Danio rerio: one gene and its partner. The protein of the gene in region 1 purifies or fractionates together with the protein of each later gene. This does not show direct contact. Links are inferred from orthologs where the notes say so. Each region holds a gene or a part of one and is shown on either strand. Other genes may lie near its edges.

Evidence for each region. The genes of interacting proteins can lie anywhere in the genome.
Region 2: the proteins of phb (region 1) and actb2 purify together in Homo sapiens (affinity purification with mass spectrometry; 4 studies listed by BioGRID and IntAct, with this or other methods). This does not show direct contact. The link is inferred for Danio rerio from reciprocal best matches to the Homo sapiens genes PHB1 and ACTB.

Annotation. Positions count from the first base shown.
Region 1 is NC_133178.1:14,401,063-14,405,245, forward strand, and holds the start of phb (prohibitin 1), read left to right. Parts: upstream 1-1,267; 5' UTR 1,268-1,293; intron 1,294-1,765; 5' UTR 1,766-1,783; coding exon 1,784-1,868; intron 1,869-4,183.
Region 2 is NC_133178.1:39,482,408-39,486,625, forward strand, and holds the start of actb2 (actin, cytoplasmic 2), read right to left. Parts: upstream 2,882-4,218; 5' UTR 2,869-2,881; intron 1,644-2,868; 5' UTR 1,554-1,643; intron 193-1,553; 5' UTR 186-192; coding exon 63-185; intron 1-62. UniProt on the Homo sapiens protein: Actin is a highly conserved protein that polymerizes to produce filaments that form cross-linked networks in the cytoplasm of cells.

The DNA.
Region 1 (4,183 bases):
TCGTTACATTACCAACCACAGGAGAAGGCAAATTGTTCAACAGGATAGCGCTCCTTCTCATACTTCAGCCTCCACATCAAAGATCCTGAAAGCAAAGAAGGTCAAGGTGCTCCTGGAATGGCCAGCCCAGCCACCAGAGATGAACATTATTGAGCATGTCTGGGGTAATATGGAGGAGGAGGCATTGAAGATGAATCCAAAGAGTCTTGATATGCTTGATGATCTTGGGGTATTAGTGCTATATAAATAAACGTCCTTTTCTGTTTTCATACAGCATGTGGTACACTAGTAGTAAAGCCTCTGTACAGGAATTGCAGTAGAAAAATGTAGCAATTTTATACCACTCTCACTTTCAACAGCAATGAAATAAAAATAATAATAAAAGCTCACTGCACGGTGGCGCAGTGGGTAGCACATTTGCCTCACAGCAAGAAGGTTGCTGGTTCGAGCCTTGGCTGGGTCAGTTGGCGTTTCTGTGTGGAGTTTGCATGTTCTCCCCGTGTTGTTGTGGGTTTCTCCTTGGTGGTCCAGTTTCTCCCAAAAACATGTGGTATAGGTGAATGAGTATGTATGGGTGTTTCCCAGTGATGGATTGCAGCTGGAAGGGCATCCACTGTGTAAAACATATGCTGGATAAGTTGGCGGTTCATTCTGTTGTGGCAACCCTTAAAGGGACTAAGCTAAAGAAAATAAATGAATGTGTTTCGTTCTTTGAACACAAAATAAGTTATTTTGAAAAATGTTGGAAACTGGTAACCATTGACTTCCATACTATTGGTTTTTCCTATGGAAGTCAATGGTTACAGGTGTTAAACGATGTTGAAAACATATTTTCAGTATTTGAACGTGGTTGGACTATAGCTTTAAGCAGTCGAAAGAACGCCCACATGACAAGTTTGTAGCAATATTTGTTTACAATACGCAATATGAATTACATTGTCAATAAAAAAATATAAGAGAGAGAAAGACAGAAGAAAAAATGAATAAAGAACATGATATAAACTTGAGCATAAGACATTTAAGTATCAATAACAGTACATAAATTAAAGTCATTACAAAATGAAATAAGGAACGCCCACATATTGCATTGCAGTGAACCCACCTCGTTCTAAAGCAACGTGAGATGTACGCCAATAATAATCCTCCTTACTCAAGAGGGCGTTCGGTTTGTGTCTCTCTATCCAATCGGAGAAACTCATGTTGACACTGTTCTGCGCATGCGCAAGCTCCACCTGCTCATGTGTTTCTTGCGCAGGCTCCGGTGGAGGTCACTGTGATCATTCAGCGCAGCGGGTAAGTGCTCACGTTTTAGGAGACTTACATTTAAATGCGAACTTAAAGCTTTTGTTTTACTCACAAAGCATCGGTAATTATAACGCGACAGTATGAAAGTGAAATAAACACGACGTGTGGGTGTTTGTTGGCGTTATTGCATGACAGTTGCATCATTAGCGTGTAGCAGGCTAATAAATGAGTGAAGTTCACTACTGCGGATTGTATTAATGCCTGTTAATCTGTGTCACATGTGTTATTGTAATAGCAATTGTTTTTAAGTGGTGTATATATGTGTATATTGTGCAGTTTTACTTGTGATTTTTCCAGTGACCGGTTAGAGTGAGATCAGATTAGCACGTTACATTGATGTCAGTGTCACTGTCAGAGTCAAGGCTAAACCGGCTAGCATTGGTTTGATTACCCAAGGGCTCTATATGCACAAGAGATCACCCATGATGAGATACTGAAGATGAATGTGTTTTCCCCGCAGGACTGTCACTTTGTTGTCATGGCGAAGCTCTTTGAGTCCATTGGGAAGCTGGGATTGGCCTTGGCCATTGGAGGAGGTGTTGTTAACTCTGCTCTGTACAATGGTGAGTTGTAATAACTACTGATGTGTTTTGTAAAACAATGGCAGCAATGGTTAAAGCATTTAATTCCTATAAGTATTCTAATAAGGTCAATTTAAAGGGCTTACACGCAACAAATTAAATTTGTTGTTAATTTTATCCACATTGAGGCTGTCGATAGGTCATAGGAATGCACAATATTGCAACTTTATATTGCTATATTTAGAGTTCCCATGGGTCTTGGAATTTTTGTGAATATCATGAGTTTTAAAGGGGGTCATTTGTGCATATATCAGTTTTCTAAGTGGTTTAAATGCAGTTGTGTGGCAACCGTGTGTGAATATAACCAGCTTGTAATGGTAAAACAATAGTTTTATTATAGTTATTTATTATATTATATTATTATCCAATAGTTTTATTAATAGTATTATAATCAGACTTGATAAACAGTCTGCATGAACACCTTGATTGACATTGTACCTGTCATCAGAGGGGGAAAGCCCGTCCATTAGTGACGATCTCTGCCTCATTAGCATAAACAGCCCTGAGTGAGAAGCAGCCATTCGCCATTAAGTCGCCCTTCCACTGCACACGACAAGCGAAAGACTGGAAGACGTTGAATTTCCAATGGAGAGTAGTCCGGGAGCTGCGTAGAGTTCAGATTCTCTCCGTATGTGGAAAATTTGGATCCGATATGAGCTGCAGAGCTGCTGTTGGAAATATTTGAACTCCTGCGACTACACCGTATACGACCGACCGCATGTGATGTAGTTCAGTGTTGTCCAGGCAGGTCTGTGCGTGCGAGATGAGAAATAGGATTTTTTTTTTTCTTAAATCAGAAAAAAGTCTATATTAAAAAATGTTTTGTTCATAAATGAGTCATAAAAATACTTTTTTTTGTTTGTTTCCACATTCCCGCCAACATTTTTAGCGGTCTGAGTTTCTAGTGTTGATTCATTCATTCAACCATGGTGGACACCCAGAGAGTAAAGGCTCTTGCTTTTGCACTCTTTTATTACTGACGCTGTGAGAACATCTTCTCTCCCATGGTGCACGACAAAACTGAAAGTTCTGTGCGACTGCCACAAGGGGGAGTATTCCGACAGTCGTGTTCAAATGTGATGTGCAGTGGAAAGGCGGCTTTAGAGTGTTCACCTGCTGAAGATAATGACACTGACTATAAGGCACTATTAATGTGAAGTTTTAGATGCGCAAATGAACACTGTAGTCTCCATAGACTGCCTTCTTTTGAGACGTTTCTTTCACATTTTCAGTTTTCACAGAGATCTCCTTAAGTACTGTTAATGAATCTGCCACTATGCTGACGCATTGACATTTATAGCTCCACCTGCCTTTGCACAGAGCAAAAGCTAGTTTACATTTCAAGCGGCAGTCACAAAGAAGCGGCGTAATTTGGACCAAAGCCTAAAAGGGGCAGTTTCAAAATGGTTATAAAGCAATATTTATTTTTCATCCTGCAAAAAAGGATCTTAATAGTTCATTTTTAAAATGTTTATTTCAGATATTTAAAGTCATGGAAATTTTTTTGTCCAAGTCGAGGAACATCTAGATTTTGCTTGTCAATTTTTATTTTACTTTTCATTCATCAAATTACATTTATCGAATTGCACTTTATGTAGCCCGTGTGTGTGTGTGTGTGTGTGTGTGTGTGTGTGTGTGTGTGTCTGTGTGTGTCTGTGTGTGTGTCTGTGTGTGTCTGTGTGTGTGTCTGTGTGTGTGTCTGTGTGTCTGTGTGTCTGTGTGTCTGTGTGTCTGTGTGTCTGTGTGTCTGTGTGTGTGTGTGTGTGTGTGTCTGTCTGTCTGTGTGTCTGTCTGTCTGTGTGTCTGTCTGTGTGTGTGTCTGTGTGTGTGTGTGTCTGTGTGTGTCTGTGTGTCTGTGTGTGTGACTGAGAACTCTAAATCATGCTGTTTTTTGTTTTTTTTTAGCAGGTGTGCTTGTGTGGCCGTTTTATTTTTATTTTTATTTTATTGTTCATTTCATAAAGCACAACATTTCTCTATGAGTTCTCTGCCCGCTGCTATGTTGTTTGTGTGTTTCTACAGTAAATGCACAGGGACTTCAAAATGAACTTTTGGTGCTTAACACCTTTTTATTGGTCTTTTTATTTTTCTGCTCTTTCAAAAATAAGGTCCAGGATTTAGATTAAAAGTTACTTGTAAATATTTTCTCTATTTAACAACAGTACAGTAGGTCAGTAGTGAAAGATGGCTTCACTTGCGTCAGATTTTGCTTGGTCTTAAAGCTTTCTTAGATGGGTTATTTCACAATTTATAATGGCATAGCAGACAAAATAGGACAAATGAGCTCATGTATGGGG
Region 2 (4,218 bases), about 25 Mb from region 1:
TTTGTGAACTACTTGAGAAAGTTCTCAGTTTGGGTCAGAATCAAACTAATCGGTCTTCTCACCTGATGTCTGGGGCGACCCACGATGGATGGGAAGACAGCACGGGGAGCATCATCTCCAGCGAATCCGGCTTTGCACATACCGGATCCGTTGTCAACAACCAGTGCGGCAATTTCATCATCCATGGCTGAACTGTAAAAGAAAGGGAAACTGTTAGAATTGCACTGCTGCCAGGGAGAGGCGTTTCAGCAAGCATGTGACCATCTGGAGTCAACTTCCTGTTTTGCTCTGCATTCTACAGTCTGACCGCTGGTGGGCGCTAGTGACAGCGCGCGCCTCAGATATGCCAGACAAAGGAAGTCCCTCTGCATTCTCTCATTATTACCATAAAAGGCAATGGTTTGAGCCGCTTTGCGGCTGCCGGCGGTGTGGCACTCAGCCAGAGTCGTAGGGCTCAGTAAAAAGGAACAGATTTCGACATTCATCACACCAGGACCACTCCCTAAATTTTACACAAATGAAGTTTCACATCCTCTTCCACCCTCGCCTGCGATCAATTACACAACCGCATTTCAACGGGTGTCTGCCGCCGGGTGTTACTGCGTCACAGATCTGCAGTCAGTCCACGGACTCCTCGTGAGCGGAGACTTCACACTAAAGCATTTCTGGACGGTCACTCTCAGTCGGTTCAGTTCATAGTCTAGCCTCAAAAATCACCGAGATCCTGAAAAACTGATGGGCTCTGCTTCGACAGTCACAGCGGCTGAAGTGCAGCCAGAGAACTCCGCAGCCGTTATTAAAGTGGACCACACCTCTAAAATTCAAATCTTTCATAGCGGATACAACACTTCACTAACGTTAACGTTAATCTTCAGCTTCATTAAAGACAGAGGGGGCTGCAGGCTACATTTAAATAGAACACATAACAAAAAGAAAATTAACCAAGTTAAAACTAAATGCCAATACCCGTTACTAATAACAAGATCTTCGATCTTATAAAGCACGAATGAGCCGATGTTAGATTGATGGGGTTTACGTTACATCAGATGAGAGCTGGTTAGCCGGCTAGCTAAAGTAGGTCACACCCTGCTGCAGCACTGCCTGCACAAAGAACTTCCCATGCCGGCTATCCATCAAGTGTGCAACATGCTCACCAGCACCCTCAAAACTGTAGTTAAAAATCACATTTATGGCTGTTAAAGAGAGATTAGCCAGAACACAACTTTATATTAAGACTTAACACCCATTTCACACCGGCCTATTCAATGTTCAATGTCGTGCCTACGACTGGTCACGTTAAATTACCGACATTCTCACCTGCCACATCCACTAACGCTACAAAAAAGTTAAGATACAGCCAATATTTATTAAATGTAACATAGATTATCAAAAGAACCACCACTTATAAATCAAACCTAGTAGATAACTACAAAGAGACCGTTATGAACTGTCTAAAGACTTCATCAAATCATATTTATCCATTTACACATTTTACTTAACATTAATAGATAGAAACTATAATTAAACGCTTAAAAACTGTAAAACCAACTCACCTTGGGTTTGGGGGGTTGTCGACTTAAGAGAATGGGTTACAAGCAGATGATATTCCGCACTAGCTGCGTGTGGAGGAGCTCAAAGTGAGGCTGAAAAGCTGGGCGCGCTCTTTTATATGACGGCACATACCCGGCTCTAGCCATAAAAGGTAAACTTTCGGAGCTCTGTGCTCTGATTGGTCCAGCGTCACACACCCGGCTGTCGCGTGCACATTGCTACACTTGCTTCTTGCAACTTGAGAGTGAAAGAAGGGGAAGCTTAACTGGTTAAAGAACAAGGCCATGGCGATTTCCTATAAAACTGGAATTTTTATTTGCAAATTTTAACACAGAATTTTTCGTATTTTTCTGCGACAACGCCAAGACTCAATTAAACTTTTCAAAAAGTCTGTGCAGAGTTACAAGTGGCAGAATGCGTCATAATGATGGATGCCTCCATGATCCTGTGTTGTGTTTTCAATCTAACACAACAGCAGCTCTGTAGGTCATTTACCTCTTGTGTTCACGAAATACCGTAATACAAACAATGGGGGATCTAATGAGTACTTTTCCATGTATAAAATGGACATTTTTTTTATCCAAATTAGGATGACACTACTTGTAGTATGTTGTATGAGCAACTAGCTGGTCTTAGCTCAGTAGTAATGCACTTTAAGAAAGTGCTTTAATAACTTTGAATGAATGGGACCTGCATTCCATGCCACATTGCTTCACTATTTTTGTGTGTACAAGTTACACAATGATGTATAAAGTGAGTGATAGCAGTTACATTTTTGCAAGTGGGCCTACCTCAGGTTTAATGTTCATTAGAAATGTTATATGTCAAGTCTTGATCTTAAATAGTTAAATTTTCTGTTCATAATTTCATGTCGTGTCTATGCAGACATAACATTTCTTTTTAAAGAGGTTTATAAGGATAAATCCTAAGAACATAATTCTCATTAAAAGTAGAAAAAAAAAACACTGAAAGTGTTGGTGATCAGCTACAATAAATAATATTTTGCACACATTTCAGATATTGCCACACTGAATAACAGATAAAGCTGTGCTTGAGCAGCAGTGATCATGATAAACTACATGTGACTTTTTACTGTGTAACTTGGGAGTAATGCACATGGCCTTCAGTGGGAGTTATAAACAAAAACAGCTGATTGTGTTAAAAGTGCTTGCTGATACCAAGGACAATGAGGTGATGTGACTTTTATTTTGTTTTTGGCAAATTCCAAGTATTTTGACAAGACTTTTTACAATTCTGAGCATTTTACCTCTAAAATATGGAAGTTTCTCAGAGTAAACGTTGAGTATAGGTAATGACTAGGCCCACACAGAATCTGTGCGCACAGAAATCTGCAGATTTCCCCAGATCTTTAGCCCATCATTGAGTTTATTTATTGACTTGTGTATTTGGATTTGCTCTTTAGTGTTTGGACTCTCAGCAGTAAAAATTAACTCACACTGAACTAAACTGAACTGAACTTAAACTCTTAAAAAATGGACTGACACAGTTTCAATTTACTATACTAATCCTCTAAGTTAAGCTGCTTTGACACAATCTACATTGTAAAAGCACTCTAGAAATAAAGACAAAGGTGTAAATATATGTTTATTCAGTTTTTAAATACATTTCCGTAATATTATTGACTAATATGAAAGTGTTCATTTGATTACAATATGGTCTGAAAGTAATGTTTTCTGTCTTTTAGAAGATATATTATGTGAGAGACTTGCTTTGTCGACCAAATAATTGGATCTAGGTGGACTTGCATTGTATATATTTATTAAAAGTTAAAAAGGTATTATTTTTTTTTATTTCATATAGTAAGTTTTTAGTTACGATACTCCCGAAAAAATCTCGCATAAATCACAGATTGTTTACAAAATTCTCTGCAGAAAAAGCAAAAAATGTCAGCAGATTCTGTCTGGCCCTAGCTATGACCCAACAGAGCAAACAGAATAAATACAACGAAATTTAATATACAGCATCAGATATAAAAGTGAATGTTTTATAGCTGTTTGTGTATAGAAAAAATGAGAAAAAACAGACATAAACAGCATCATAGTATGAATGTCTAAAAACTTGTTATCTGCAAACTGGATACTCATCAATAAGGTCTCCTCCTTCCATCCCCCAACATCTTTTCAAAGAATGCCAAGCATCCATCCACACCCCCCTTTATAAACACACAGGTTTTTATAAGATAAGCAAATATTTAGCACCAATCTGTGGTTAATGTGATGTAACACACAACAAACAATGCATTCAGCATATCCAGTCAATTCTATTTTTTAACCAACCATGCTTCTCTTTGTAACTTTTGTAGATTGCACAGGGGATCTTGTTACAGCAGATGTGCTTTTGTGAGTCCATAGTTCCCCCGAGGACCACCACCCTTCCCTGATAGCAGCCCACTACAGCCTTCCCATTCATCTCTAAATAAGGTACTGTCCTAATGAACCTCAGCTTTGCCCCATGACATAAGATTTCCAGAGCAATAAAGTGTTGTTGACTGTCAGTGTGATAATGTCATTGTCCTTTAGAATGCCAAAGTCTCTTATCTCAATTCTGATACCAAAGCTCTCCCAGTACACCATTCATGCATAATGATAAGAAACATATTTATGAAGTTGTTCTCAAAGGAACACTTTTTGGGCGTGTCATGCTGCA